Linked DNA regions of Oryzias latipes. The protein of the gene in region 1 binds, or shares a complex with, the protein of each later gene. Links are inferred from orthologs where the notes say so. Each region holds a gene or a part of one and is shown on either strand. Other genes may lie near its edges.

What was found.
Region 2: rbx1 (region 1) and klhl22 share a complex: the UniProt entries of both Homo sapiens proteins name them as parts of the BCR(KLHL22) E3 ubiquitin ligase complex. The link is inferred for Oryzias latipes from reciprocal best matches to the Homo sapiens genes RBX1 and KLHL22.

Annotation. Positions count from the first base shown.
Region 1 is NC_019866.2:19,408,276-19,414,997, reverse strand, and holds rbx1 (E3 ubiquitin-protein ligase RBX1), read left to right. Parts: upstream 1-3,244; 5' UTR 3,245-3,480; coding exon 3,481-3,558; intron 3,559-4,559; coding exon 4,560-4,638; intron 4,639-4,788; coding exon 4,789-4,859; intron 4,860-5,001; coding exon 5,002-5,087; intron 5,088-5,196; coding exon 5,197-5,209; 3' UTR 5,210-5,374; downstream 5,375-6,722. Other genes in the region: chondroadherin-like protein, read left to right, coding at 290-567, 657-993, 1,076-1,422, 1,545-1,711, 1,854-2,145; st13 (hsc70-interacting protein), read right to left, coding at 6,545-6,679. UniProt on the Homo sapiens protein: E3 ubiquitin ligase component of multiple cullin-RING-based E3 ubiquitin-protein ligase (CRLs) complexes which mediate the ubiquitination and subsequent proteasomal degradation of target proteins, including proteins involved in cell cycle progression, signal transduction, transcription and transcription-coupled nucleotide excision repair.
Region 2 is NC_019867.2:20,705,882-20,712,732, reverse strand, and holds the start of klhl22 (kelch-like protein 22), read right to left. Parts: upstream 4,411-6,851; 5' UTR 4,155-4,410; coding exon 4,098-4,154; intron 3,940-4,097; coding exon 3,650-3,939; intron 2,893-3,649; coding exon 2,727-2,892; intron 2,650-2,726; coding exon 2,326-2,649; intron 2,229-2,325; coding exon 1,819-2,228; intron 544-1,818; coding exon 351-543; intron 203-350; coding exon 1-202. UniProt on the Homo sapiens protein: Substrate-specific adapter of a BCR (BTB-CUL3-RBX1) E3 ubiquitin ligase complex required for chromosome alignment and localization of PLK1 at kinetochores.

The sequences.
Region 1 (6,722 bases):
CTTTAGAGCTCGATGCCAATAGATTTTTGAAACAGAAAGTGTGAAAAATTTGAAATGAATAATTGGTGATTATCTTTAATACAATACAATTTTCCTGTAATAAAGGGTGAAAATGAGTCCTTCTCTAAAGTTACTATAAACTGAGTTTAGTTTAGTTTTCAGTAGTATTTTATTAGTTTAGTACTATATAAAATATGAAAGTGTTTTTTATTTGTTTTTTTTTGGTCTGAGTGATCAGAAAGATGTTATTAAAATTCAGCAAACAGTTGAAAAACAATTCTTCTTCCAGGCAACCCAATCTACTGTAACTGTTACTTAAAGCCTCTCAAAGAGTGGGCGACCGCCAAAGGTGTGAAGCTGCTGGGCGCCTGCACTGAACCCCCACATCTGTCTGAGGAGCTGCTGCAGGAAGTGACCTCTTCGGATCTACGCTGTCATGGTGGGAGTCAAAGCCTGGGTGAGAAGGAGGAAGAGGAGGAGCAGAATAAGGAGGAAAACAAAGGAAACATCACAGCCACAGCCAAGCCCAAGCAGAGAGTCAAATGTCCTTCTAACTGTAAATGTGATGTAAGTTGTTTTTTTTTTCTCAGAATAACCTCTTGACAGTTTAATCATTTTACAAATACGTTTTTTCTTTTTTTATATTTGACTCATAGATTGAAACACATCATGCTACATGTGAAGGCCAGGGTCACACCAAAGTTCCCAGAGGCTTCCCAGCAAAGACGCAGCTCCTTGAACTCCGTGGAAACCACTTCCACTACCTTCCAGCCCTCAGCTTTCCAGGCACTGGGAAATTAGTTTCTCTTCACTTAGAGTCGTGTGGAATCCATGAAATTGAAGGTGGTGCCTTCCAGGGAATGAACAGCCTGCTTTATTTGTATCTCTCTGACAACAACCTCACATTGTTGGATCCAAAGATCTTTGCTGGAATCCAAAATCTCACCTATCTCCACCTGGAAGGGAACCAGCTGACACAGTTCCCTGGATCCGGTCAGTGTGAGCTCACTTTAAGTATTTTGTTACTACAGATAAAGAGAACTGACTGACATTCTGCTTCTGTGTCTCCTAACAGCTCTCTCTCTTTTACCAAATTTGTTTGTGTTACACCTGGAGCGTAACAATATTTCCAAACTAGAGCCTTCCGGTTTGCTATCTTCTGTAACTCCCACTGAACTGTCCTTGAGTAATAACAGCACAAATGTGATGGCCAGAGGTGCTCTCACCTCTGCTTCCATTGGATGTCTTTACCTGGATTCCAACCGGCTGACTGAGGTGCCGACTTCCGCTCTAACCAAAACCCCAAACTTGGAGGAGCTCAGCTTATCTCAAAATCCTATTTTGAGGGTTGGACGAAAGGCATTCCAGCCCATATCCCAAAGTCTGAAAAGGCTTTATATGGATCATATGGGAATGGAAAAGGTAGGAGATTCTAGTTCTCCAAGATCCTCTTTCATCCAAATGGAGTATTTGATTCAATCTTTAATTTTTCCAATTAGTTCATTTTAGACTGTGTGATTGGTTGGTATTTTGAATTTTTCCAGATGTCTGAAGATGCATTGCAGGACCTGGGCTCAGCTCTTAGACATCTGACTGTGAGGGGAAACCAGCTGAAGGAGCTGCCTGACCTGAGACCACTTACAGGCCTGGAAGGGGTGGACCTGCGAGACAACCCTCTGCTGTGCGACTGTGCTTTGCTGCCCCTACGCAGGTCAGTGAGGGTCCTTACCAGGGTGCTGGAATCAGAAAAGGGGAGTTTTCAACAATTATCAGAGCCCACAAATGTAACATTGTACGGTCAGTAAGCTCACATAACTTTTTTTGTGTTTTTGTGTACTATCTTTGTGTTTCAGGTGGATGGAGAGTGTGAGATTTGAAGTTACAGCGACTTGCGGTAACCCTCCTGACCTCAGAGGTCAGCAAGTCAGAGACATTAATGTCTTCGCATCCTGCTCAGAAAACGCCTCCATTAAGCAGGAGGGCAGCAGGGAGCCGAAACTTTCTACAATAACCAAACCAGGTTCTTTGAAGCCCCCCAAAGTGAAAACTAGACCTGCGAAGTCGAAACTAAGCAAATCATCTAAGAAAAGGTTACAAAAAAAATCTGGGACTCCAAAAAAGACCATGAACAAGATGGCATTATAATAAAATGAATCATGTTTTGGTGGTTTCTTTACAAAGAGTTTTGTTTGGGAAAAAGTTCAACTTTTTTGTTTTTTTATTAAAACTGCTTCATACAACATGTTGTGTGCACTATCTTCATATTTTGTAGGCAAAGCTACTCTAAACAACAGAATACAACTTTTCAAAAAATATTAAAAGTCACAAAATATATAAGTTTATTGATCCTGTTGGCCTCCTGTCCGGCCTTCGCGGATTCGGATGGTTCAGGACGTCCAAAAATGAAATGTGCAGTTGGGGAAACGAAAAGACACAAGAGTTTGCATGAATTCTCAAACCTTTTGCAAAAACGGAGAGTTGGAAAAACATGACCTGTTAGGCTCTGTGGCTGTCCGCTCTCTCTGTCCTCAAGGCAAAAAGGCGTTTTTTATTATTAAGTAAGGGAAGATGAAAACATACAAAATACGTCAGTAGAATGGTGTGTTTCTGTCTAGTCTGCATTGCAGCTGTTATGGCTCCATAAACACTCCAGTACAGAAAGAAAGCAGAGACTGCAAGTCAAAAACAGGCCTACTGGTGACCTCGTCACATATTATCTGCTACTGAGGGCAGGAATCAAGCATATTTGTGCAGTACAATATACATGCAAAAATAGAATCCATTATAATAACAAGAAAATACAACATATAATAGAACCCCTGTAATGCATATTTAAAAGAACATAGAAAATATTATGGAACCCCTGTTCACCTCAACAATCGTCAAACATTAAAGTGTCTGTCAATTATTTTATTTTCAAATAATAAATAGCACGGAACACAAAAAGTAGGCCTGTAAGTTAACTTAGCATTAAATCATTTACGGCAGGATGCTAATAATTTTTAAAACCCGTTATATTCACCGTTTTGATGAATGAAGAAGTTCCTGTTTTTAAATTTTTCTTTTTAAAGAAATTGTTAAGCTGCAAAAATGTAGTTAACCTGTTTAGTAGATAGAATTCTAACAATATTCGAATTGAACGTGTGATCGGTGTCTTGATGGTACCTTAATAATTCTTGGCTGTGGCTTCAACATGGTTCCATGGTGTAATGGTTAGCACTCTGGACTCTGAATCCAGCGATCCGAGTTCAAATCTCGGTGGGACCTGAGATTTTTCTTCCACCCTCGTCTATGGAATCACTTACTATCTTCTTTAAAGTTGTGCTTATTTATTAATTAATTTATTTAATTTTTAAATGAAATTCATGTTTTGGTTGTTATTTTATTTCGTCTTTCCCGTCTCAGTCGGTTAAGTTAATGAACTTAACCGACTGAGACTGTTGCTACATCCGGACGGCTTTGTACAGACGACGTTTCAAGATGGCAGCAGCGATGGACGTTGACACACCGAGTGGTGCTAACAGTGGCTCAAGCAAGAAACGCTTCGAAGTTAAAAAGGTCTGATTTTATTTATTACCTGGTCAACTCTGGATTGGTCAAACACGTTTGCTATATAAAAGAAGAACAAAGGAGCCCTGTCTGTTTTAACCTCCTCTAGCTGGTTAACGACTCCTATTAGCATGTTCGATGTTGCCTAGCATAAAGTTAGCTTGCTTAACGAAAATGAATGTGCATTTCTAAATAATGTCATAACTTAGACCATGTTGTGATATTTACAAGATTACCTTCAGTCGAGCGTAACAGAAAAACAGCGTTTTTGAAATGGTAACGAGAGCTATAATCTTAATTCTTTTAATATTTGTTTTATTTTTGTGCTATTCGGATGCTAATTTAGCTTAGCATAAAGCTGAGGTTTCAAGATCTAGCAGCACATCATCTTTTTCTCTAATTTTAAATTTTTGTTCGTGTATTTCACATGTTAACCGATTTCTTTAGATTATTGCTATAAAGTTTTATATATATATATATATATATATATATATATATATATATATATATATATATATATATATATATATATATATATATTCCCTTAAAAGTGCTTATCTGATTTGTGCACCTGACAGGTGCAATTTGATATATTTATCTTTACTGTAAAAGGAAGCACTAAATCTTTCCTGTCAACTATTTTTAAAATGGGGGGAAAAAAAGTGTCATGATGACCAAAAACAAGAAAATAATTCAGGAACATGTTCTTTATATCAGCCATGTCTATCAAAAATGGCAGGAAGGAAATGCTAATATTTTTGATTTCCCTAAAATGTTTTAACATTCCGATCAGTGGACATGTTTAACAACTATATTTTGTTTTCTTTTTGTAATTCCAGTTGCTTATTTCTTTCGATCCTTTCCATTCAAAGTATTACAAGACATTATGCTAGATATGGTTAAAAAAAAGTCTGGAAACGTTGGAACGTTCTAAAACATTTAACTGGTGTATATAATCCTGGGTAACATAGATTAAACATGTGCTCATCTGATTGTTCTGTCCCCCTCAGTGGAATGCTGTGGCGCTGTGGGCCTGGGACATTGTTGTGGATAACTGCGCCATCTGTAGAAACCACATCATGGATCTCTGTGAGTTCACTTTAATGCATTCTCTGATAGCTTCCTGTCTTCATTTTGACTTCAAACTTTTAGCAGAATGAGTACTTCTAAGCTTCTACAAGCCCTTCTTCTCCCAACAAGTTTAGATTTCTGTGACACGTTGCATGTTTTCTTGATCAGGCATAGAATGTCAAGCCAACCAAGCATCTGCAACCTCAGAGGAATGCACAGTAGCCTGGGGGGTCTGCAATGTAAGTTTCCAATTAAATTGATGGAAGACTCAGATTATCTGTGTGTTTTCTGGAAGATGAAATGATGGATACCAATATGAGCATTTAGAGCTAAAGCCCTTAACATTTCTAATTTCTTTTTCACCTGTTTGTCTTCTTTTAGCATGCATTCCATTTCCATTGTATTTCCCGCTGGTTGAAAACCAGACAAGTGTGTCCCCTTGATAACAGAGAGTGGGAGTTTCAGAAGTAAGTTTGATTGATGTCATGTAGTTTTATTGATTACATTTCTGAAAGTACGATTTTCTTTAAAGTTGTTGCTTTAGACATTGCTAAGCTGTTTGTCATGTTTTCACAGATATGGACATTGAGTCGGCCTGCCGCTCACTTCCTGCAAGAATCAATTTCACTGCTTCTTCAATCCCAGCGGCTTGTATTATTTTCCACACTTTTGTTTTAGTATGTTGTAATTAAATGGTGAGCTTGTAAGGTAAAAAGTTTGAAATAATAAATGGAAAAAAACTGGGAATTAACCTTTCATTTGTGTTTTTGTTTTTTTAATACAGTTGACTTTAAATCACATTGATGTTGACAGCGCAGTAACCCTCTTTAAGGACACGAATCTTCAGTGTAAATTAAATCACCACCAAAATGTTTGACTTCTCTTTACCATAGTTTATTGTGGAAGCTGTTAGAAAAATGAGTTTCATCTATTTGTTAAATTCCACACATGACAGAATACTTCCTAAAGACCCACTCTGATGAAAATCTTGTTTTCTGGTGTTTTCAACGTGCTCTAGTGCCTTTTTCTGATGAAGGGCATAAAAGAAAACTAAGCTCAAATTTACGTTCCAAAAATAACCTGCGATTAAAAAAAAAAAAAAGATTCCAATGAAAAATATCCACACAGACTGAAACGTAAACTGCGATAGTCAATGAGCGGTAATTCTATATTCAGATGAAAAAAAGAGCTTTGTGATGAGATTCATGTGGTGGGCAACAAGCGCCCCGCTTTACAACGGGGAGGGGATGGGGCGGGTTTGCTCCATGCCAACACTCCCGCCCACAACTCGGAGGTAAATTTCTAATGAACTGCTGCTGCTCTGCAGAAGCTGGCATGGATTAGGCATCATGAAAAGTTTTCACTTTAATAGAAGACAACCGTTAAAAGCTAGGGAATTTGACAGTTAAAGTACATTTATCAGTGCAAGTAGAAAAGAGGATTAAAGCTGTTTTCCATCAACATTTTTATTGTGAACTTTTCAACAGGAATATTAAAGTTATTTGCAGTTAGCCTTTCACAACAGCATGTACCAGCACCCACGCTTTGGAGTGCGGCCTCACAACCAGGAATTTCCTACTGAGTGTAGAATGGCTCTAGAAAGAGGCGTTGGTTCCATGCAGGAACTGTCCGAGCTGCTGTCGCAGGTTAAATCACAGCCGCGACCCATCAGAGAGGAGGGAGGGGCTTAGCTAAATACCAGGACTGACCCATAACCATCTGTTTGATTTGTTGATGTTGCTAACAAACTGAGGAAGATTTAAAAAAAAAAAAGAAACCAGTGAAAAACACTTTCCATCTTTCTGTTACATTTGCATCACTTTGACCTGCTCCCCTGATAGAACTAAACACACTGAGAAAATGTTGAAAAGCTTAATTTCACTCGCTCCTCCAAACATCATCTCCGTTTTGGTCCAGTCCACTTCTATGGCTGGGGGGGGGCTCCGAACTTGGAACTCAGCTTGGAAGCGAGAGCCATGATTTTGGGGTTGTTCTGATACTTGGAGATGTTTGCCGGATTCTGAGCCACATCCTGGAAGGCGGCCATCACCTCAGGGTCCTGGAGTCAGAAAGAAGTCAACCTCACTGGAGTGTTTCAGGAG
Region 2 (6,851 bases), on another chromosome or scaffold:
GGTTACTACCCCCAATAACATATATGCGTCCATTGACTGCAGCCATGCCATGCCACGCCCGCTCCACTGGTCCCTCTGCACACACCGCCCAGTGATTGGCTGCAGGGTCAAAGCAGTATGTCTCTCTGAGGTACGCCATTCCTCGACGCCCACATGTTATGTATATTTTCCCATCCACCACTGCTCCTGCGTGGGCATACACCTGGAAGCAAAGCCCAATTGTATTTAATCGGGAGGAAAAAAAGACAGCATCAATCATTAATCTGGATTTTGTCAAGTTACTTAGTGGCTCCACCATGTGGTTTTTCATGGTACTGCACGTACTGCTTTTTCACCCTGACGGGCCTTACCTCTCTCTTCAGAGAAGAGACAAATTGCCACATGTTTGTGCTGGGGTCGTAGCGTTCCACTGAGTCCAGCTCACAGCTGTAGTCACGTCCCCCAATGGCGTAGATGTGACCCCCCACCACGCAAACACAGTGGTCAGCGTGTTGTTGCTGCAGAGGCTGAATGGAGGCCCAGCTGTTGTGACGTGGGTCATACCTGAGTGATGGACCATCAGAAAGAAAACACATTTGAACACCAGCAAAGATCTTTAAACAAACCAGATATGGAATCATCTCAAATCTGGGTTCTACTGAGAAACTCCTAATCAGTAAAGATTTAAGCCCATTTATATGGAAATGCGACATATTGATGTATTTCAGCGTTACAAGATTTTATAACTTTACATTTTAAAATAAAATGAGATTAAATGTTTAACTATAGCAACAAGTCAGACCTAAAATGAAATTACAACAGAGTTCATGGTGAAATATTTTCCAAAAGCTGCCAGCAGAATTAAGAGAAGAACACAGGATGTGCCATAAAATGAGTCCTGCTTTGGAGAAGGACCAAAAAAATTTAATTTAAATCCTGATGCAATGATGGAAGCTAAAAAGCCTCTCAATAAAATCCTGAAATAACAAACCATCCATTAGGAAAGCAGAAAATGTTTATTTGTGGAGTATACAGCTAAGCACTGCTGGTTCAAATAATTAAAAAATATGAGTAAATGACAAGTACATCATCAAAAAAGCTGTGAAAAGCTAAGGAGTTCAGATGACTTTTGCATCCACTGTAGCTTAAAATGTGAGGCAAGGAATGTTCGGTCCATTATAGCTAAAGCAAAAAAAAAAAAGTGTGACTCGATTTCTGCAAATGTTGATATATTATACACTGTTTCTTAAAAACAATTTAAAATACCTTTTTTTTAAACTATGCATATGTATGGAGTTCTCTACGAGGCATCAACAAAGCTTATTTATGCAAGAATACAAAGATACAAAAAATTAATCTTTTCAGTTTAGGAGGTGGATTTATCATTTTTGCATAATAGTTGAAATTATTATGTTCTTCTAATTAAACTGTCCACCAACATTCATTCATTCATCTTCTAAACCCGTTTTGTCCCTTTCGGGTTCACGGGGCTGCTGGAGCCTATCCTGGCCACTCGTGAGCGAAGGCAGGGGACATCCTGGACAGGTCGCCAGTCTGTCGTAGGATGCGTATCAACATTTCCATCTTTATTATATTGTGCATTGGGATATTTATATCATTATAGGGGTATAATTTATAACTGAATTGCCTACATACATGTTCATTTTTTTTGTATTTAACCTCTTGTCAATATTTGGAAATAAACTAAATTAGAAATGAAAATAAAAAATTAAATTCCAATTTTCAATAAGTAGTTGAAAAGATAAAAGGAGCCCCAAAATAATCACATCAAGAAACAACTGGATGGTTATGGCTGTAAATATCCAGACACAATCTCACCTCCAGCAGCAGTTTTCTGCACGAAATCCATTGGTGTTCTTATCTCCTCCAATGAGATAAACAAAATTGTTCAGGACAGCAACCCCCTGGTTAGACATTCGGGGAGACTGAGCTGAAGGCAGAGTCCTCCACTCCCCCCAGCTCGGGTGGAACACCTGAAACAGGTTTTTCTTGTCTGTGAGGGAGGTAGAGCTAAACATCCCCCCAAAACCCAGAATACAGTAGAGGGTGGAGCGGGGCTGCGTGAGAGGACTCTGCAGGACAGGCTGCCACAATTCCTGCTCATGGTACCGCAGCGCAGCTGAGACCGATTGCTTCAGAGGACACTGGTCCAGCCTGCTGTGCAGTCTCTGCAACACTCGTCTCTCAATGAGGCAGAACCGCACAGCTTCAAGCATCTTGAGGTTGTCCTTGAAGACAAAAAAACAGATAAAGGAGTTCAGATTCACTGAGTTCAAGTTAAGCAGATGCTTCACAACAAATAAGAATGAAGAAAAAAAAACACACCTTGAGACTGACCTGCAGATGCACCTTATCAGCTTCCACCTCCTCAGGACTAAAGTGAAAATAAAGAGCCGCCTCGTACACCTCGTTTTCACTGGTCACCTGAAGCTGGTCACTGCTCAGAGCTCTAAAGATCTCCTCTTCAGGGAGCTTTCGGTACACATCCATTCGAGACAAAGTTTGAATGTTGTTGAGGATGTAGGAGCGGACTCGGTCTTTCAACTGCTGCAGCTCAAAGAGATCCGCAAGCTGGAGCACCTCTAAAATGCTGCTGTCATCCAGCCAGGAGTAAAGGAAGTCACAGCAGAAGCCGATGACACTTTCAAGCTGAAACACAGAAAAAGAAAAATACGACTCATAAAAACAAACTGTTTTTTTTGAATGACTGGTTTGGACAAATCTACCTGCACCATGGTGGCAGCTATCAGGACTTCCTGGACACAATCCAGGTCTAATTCAATCTCTGCAGTGTAGATGTAGTCGAGTAGTTTCTTCATGGCCATGTGAGATACTCCGTGAATAAGAATCTCTTTCTGCTGCGTTTCCCGGAGGCCTCCGGCAAACATCCCCCTATAACAAGAGTCGTGGTTTAACCAGGTCACCCAGTCATGAAGGCACAGAGCACGTCGGAATCCTTTTTTCTCTCTTTTCCCTGCACCATTTTAAACTTTGAAATGTCTTTTTAAAAATGTCTGTGCATAAACCGATGGAGTAAAGTACTGTGTCTTGGCCACTTTCACACTGGGATTACACAGCTACTTATGAACAGCAAAGCTTGTGAGTTCACAGACTCAAAGCAAACTCCTGGGGATTTTTCCAAGTCAGAAAACTGCTCCATTAACAAAAACAGACATGTTAGAATAGAGGCTTGCATTCTTAAGGAAGTAACAGCGTACAACAAGGTCATGTGTTACTGTAGAGGGAGATGATTGACACATCATTTATCAGATTATGTTAAGAGTAATTTCAAGAAATATCATTAAACAGAAAAGCTTTTATTCTGACACAAAAATAAAGATGTCATTATTTTAACTTTCTGGTTTGTTGTTGTTTTGGGTGTACAAATAAAGTTATCCTAATTAATAAAGCTTTAAAAATACTTTACTTTAGGTTACTTTAAGTGAATGGTTAAGTGAACTGGCCTGTAATAAATACGAATCAGTCTAAATCTGGTTTATGAAGGAGTAATAGACAATAAAAAAATTATAATGTAGTTTAACATGGATTTAGAGAAAATTTTTGGGAAATATTCGACTAAACATCCCTGAAAAGCTCAAAATAGAAAATAAAAACAAATAAAAACAGGATTGACTGCTGCATCGTTTACCTGAAATAATCGCACGCGGCTGCCAGGAGGATGCGGTGGGCTTGGATGGGTCGACCCTCCACCACCAGGACGACGTCGAACAGGATCCCCATCTGTCTGAGCGACAGCAGGCCGTCCTGCAGGCTGCGAAAGTGGGCTGAACTCCTGAAGATCTGTCGGCCGGGACAGTCTGACGAGCCAGCGCGTCCTCCGACCGCACTCTTTGCTCCGTCCTCAGCCATGACAACACGCTGACCTTCGGGTTTCATCGCTTTTATCTGCCCGGTGCCAACATGACTTAGAGCTGATCCCTTAACGTGGTTTAAACAGAGCGGAACCGATAAACAGGAAGAGAATTAAGCAAAGCAGCTAGCGACCGAGGACGACAGCCTATTCGATTGATGACTGATTTAAAGAGGGCATAAACGTAAAGAATGTATTTAAAGGTTGTATTTTATATACACCTTACCGCCGACCAACTGCACTTGTTTTCCCGGGTGTTGTGCTCTGTTGCGTTAGCCGACATCACAGTTGACGACTAGCATGCTAGTAGTTGATTTAACGTACAACGAAATGATTAAAAAAGATACAGAGTCAGACGTTTTATAACTTTTTAAAATAACTTGAGTACAACGTTCAGAATGCCGTTCAGAGTATTTGAGTTTTGCTATTCAGGTTTGGTTATAATGAGACGAAATCCATTATAGAGTAGAAGTACCGCAGCTGCCTGATTTCCGACATATCAAAATAAGTCTGTTTACTTTTGTTGTCAGGCGGTGATCTGGAATTCTATTGGTCCCTGCATTTTTCTTGTCCCGCCTACTTTCTACGCTTAGCCAATCGTAAAGCAACAACATGGAACATGGATTGTTTCTACGGGATGCCATTTAGAAAGTTACACAGTCAAATATTAACAGCAACATTTTTGTTTTTTTATCCTGTTTTTTGAGAAAAATGTAGGTTTTATTTCTCAAATGCATATATTTACCTCTTAATTAATTTTTTATTAAAACGTGTTACATTTACTAACTAAAAATTTACTTAGGAATATAAATATTTTATCTAAAGCTTAATATATTTTATGATTACTGTATATATCAAATTTGATAAAAGTAAAAATGTATTTTGCAAGGAAATATTTGGATCTGGTCTAAATTCTTTTATCTAAACTATTTATTTAAACTATTTTATTTATTCCTTTAGTTTTTATTTTTTACAAATATTTATGCTTTTTACTAATTATTTAGTTTGGAGCTAAATATTTAACTCCAAACTAAATATTTAGCTAACATGTAATGAACTAGCTGATAAGCGGAAATGAACTGCCAAAATAAAAGTGGAATTTTGCTCTGTCTTTGAACTGACTCTCAGTTAAATTGTCTCCCTGTGCCTCTACTTGTGCTACACTCATTCAAGACATGTCCAACTGCTGGCCGAAAAAACTGGACCAGCCATTTTAAGGGCGAATTTTTTTGTGTAAATAGCCTTCTTCTCAGAGCACCACTGCACTTTTGAGACCTGTCAGTACAGCCACATCTGCTGGAATCCCCCACCACCCCCTTAACTCGAAGGGATCTTTTGCTTTTTAAATGTATTTGTATGATTGACACCAGAGATGGACTGGCAATCTGTTTACTTTTGTAGAGTCCACAATTGTTCCGTTTTGGTCCACAGCCTTCTGTCTGCTTCTTTAATCACAATCATCAAGTGCTTATTTCACATGCCACAGCAGGGGGCACTCATCAAATAATTTGAAATTATTTTAATTGAACAGTCTATGAACAGCCCCCATGTCAACTCCCCGTCGCCTCCTTATCTATCTGCCTTTAAAAGAAATAACAAAATTTTAATGCAGTTGTAAAGCCAGATACAACAGTCACTCTGTAACTTAGAGAAGCGGTATCCTCTCCCCTCATTTCTATGAAATCCTTGATTTCACAGAGAAAAAGCTAAGCAGAGGTTCTGCTCAGCAGAAATACAGTAATTTGTAACTTTGTATTCCGTTACCCCCAATACTGGGGGTACTGTTTGTGAATGAGTTGAATAAAGTTTGAGTTAGTTTATTTTACTTTTTTTGTTATTACTCACTTTCAACTTAATTTGTTAAACGTTCAAACAGAAACTGATAAAAACTAAAGTCTGTCTATTTCTTCTTTACCCAGATAGCCCTATTGTATGGAAGCGATTGTGTAGCATAATTAAAAAAATAAAAGTCAAAACCAGAAATGCTTTTTCATTTTCAAAATGAAGCTGCATTTGTTGACTCAAAATTAAAATGAAAAAGCAATTTGACAAAATGATTTTTCATTTTTTTATTCATCACCGCTTATATTTTGTCACTTAATTAAAATGATATAGAGAATAGTATTTGACATATCATTTTCAAAAAGTTCTTTGGTAAATGTGTTGCAAAGGTCATTTAGAAATGTCTAATTTGACAATTAAAATGGATTAACAGAAATGCTTTTTCATTTTCTAAATGTAACTGCATCAAATGACTCAAAATTAAAATGAAAAATCAACACTTCAAAGTGCTTTTTCCTTTTTTACTTAAAAAACGCTTATTTTGTGTAATAATTAAAACAAAAATTCAAAAAGGGGGATTGCATTTTCATTTTCACATCCACCTTGCGAATAGTATCTCATAATTCAATTCGACTTTGCATTTCCAGAGGGGAGGTGGGGCGATGACGTCAGTGCTTTCTCCGTGTGTCCGGCTGCTAAGAGATTCATGCTAGGAGCAGTGTAGCTTTGTGTTAGTGGCAGAGGAGAGGGCTTTGTGACGGCTGTGCACTCCTGATGATTGTACACAGCTTCTTAGGACTGCTAGCAGCCGGACACACGGAGATAGCAATGATGGTTGCATTGGGATTGGGTCCCACTGGGACCCAACGCAAATCTTGTGGGATTGGGCGGTTTGAATTGTGCTGTGGGCGGGAGCGGGCGGCAAAAAAAAACCCCCGCGGGAACAGTGTTGCCATGAATATCTCATGAATATATAATAGCGGACTACGTTAGGCTGTGCGGCTGTTGGATTCTTATGTACTGAAGCTCCGTGAACGCACCAGGTAGAGACGCCTACTGGCCACTGTCATCTAACCTGTTGTTGGGGGTGTGCAACGCCCCGCCCCGCCTCTTAGAAATTGTCTTCTTTAAAGCCTGATACCGCTGTCGCGTGTGGGCGGAGCTACCAGCTAAAGTTATGGTCTGATCGCTACATGGA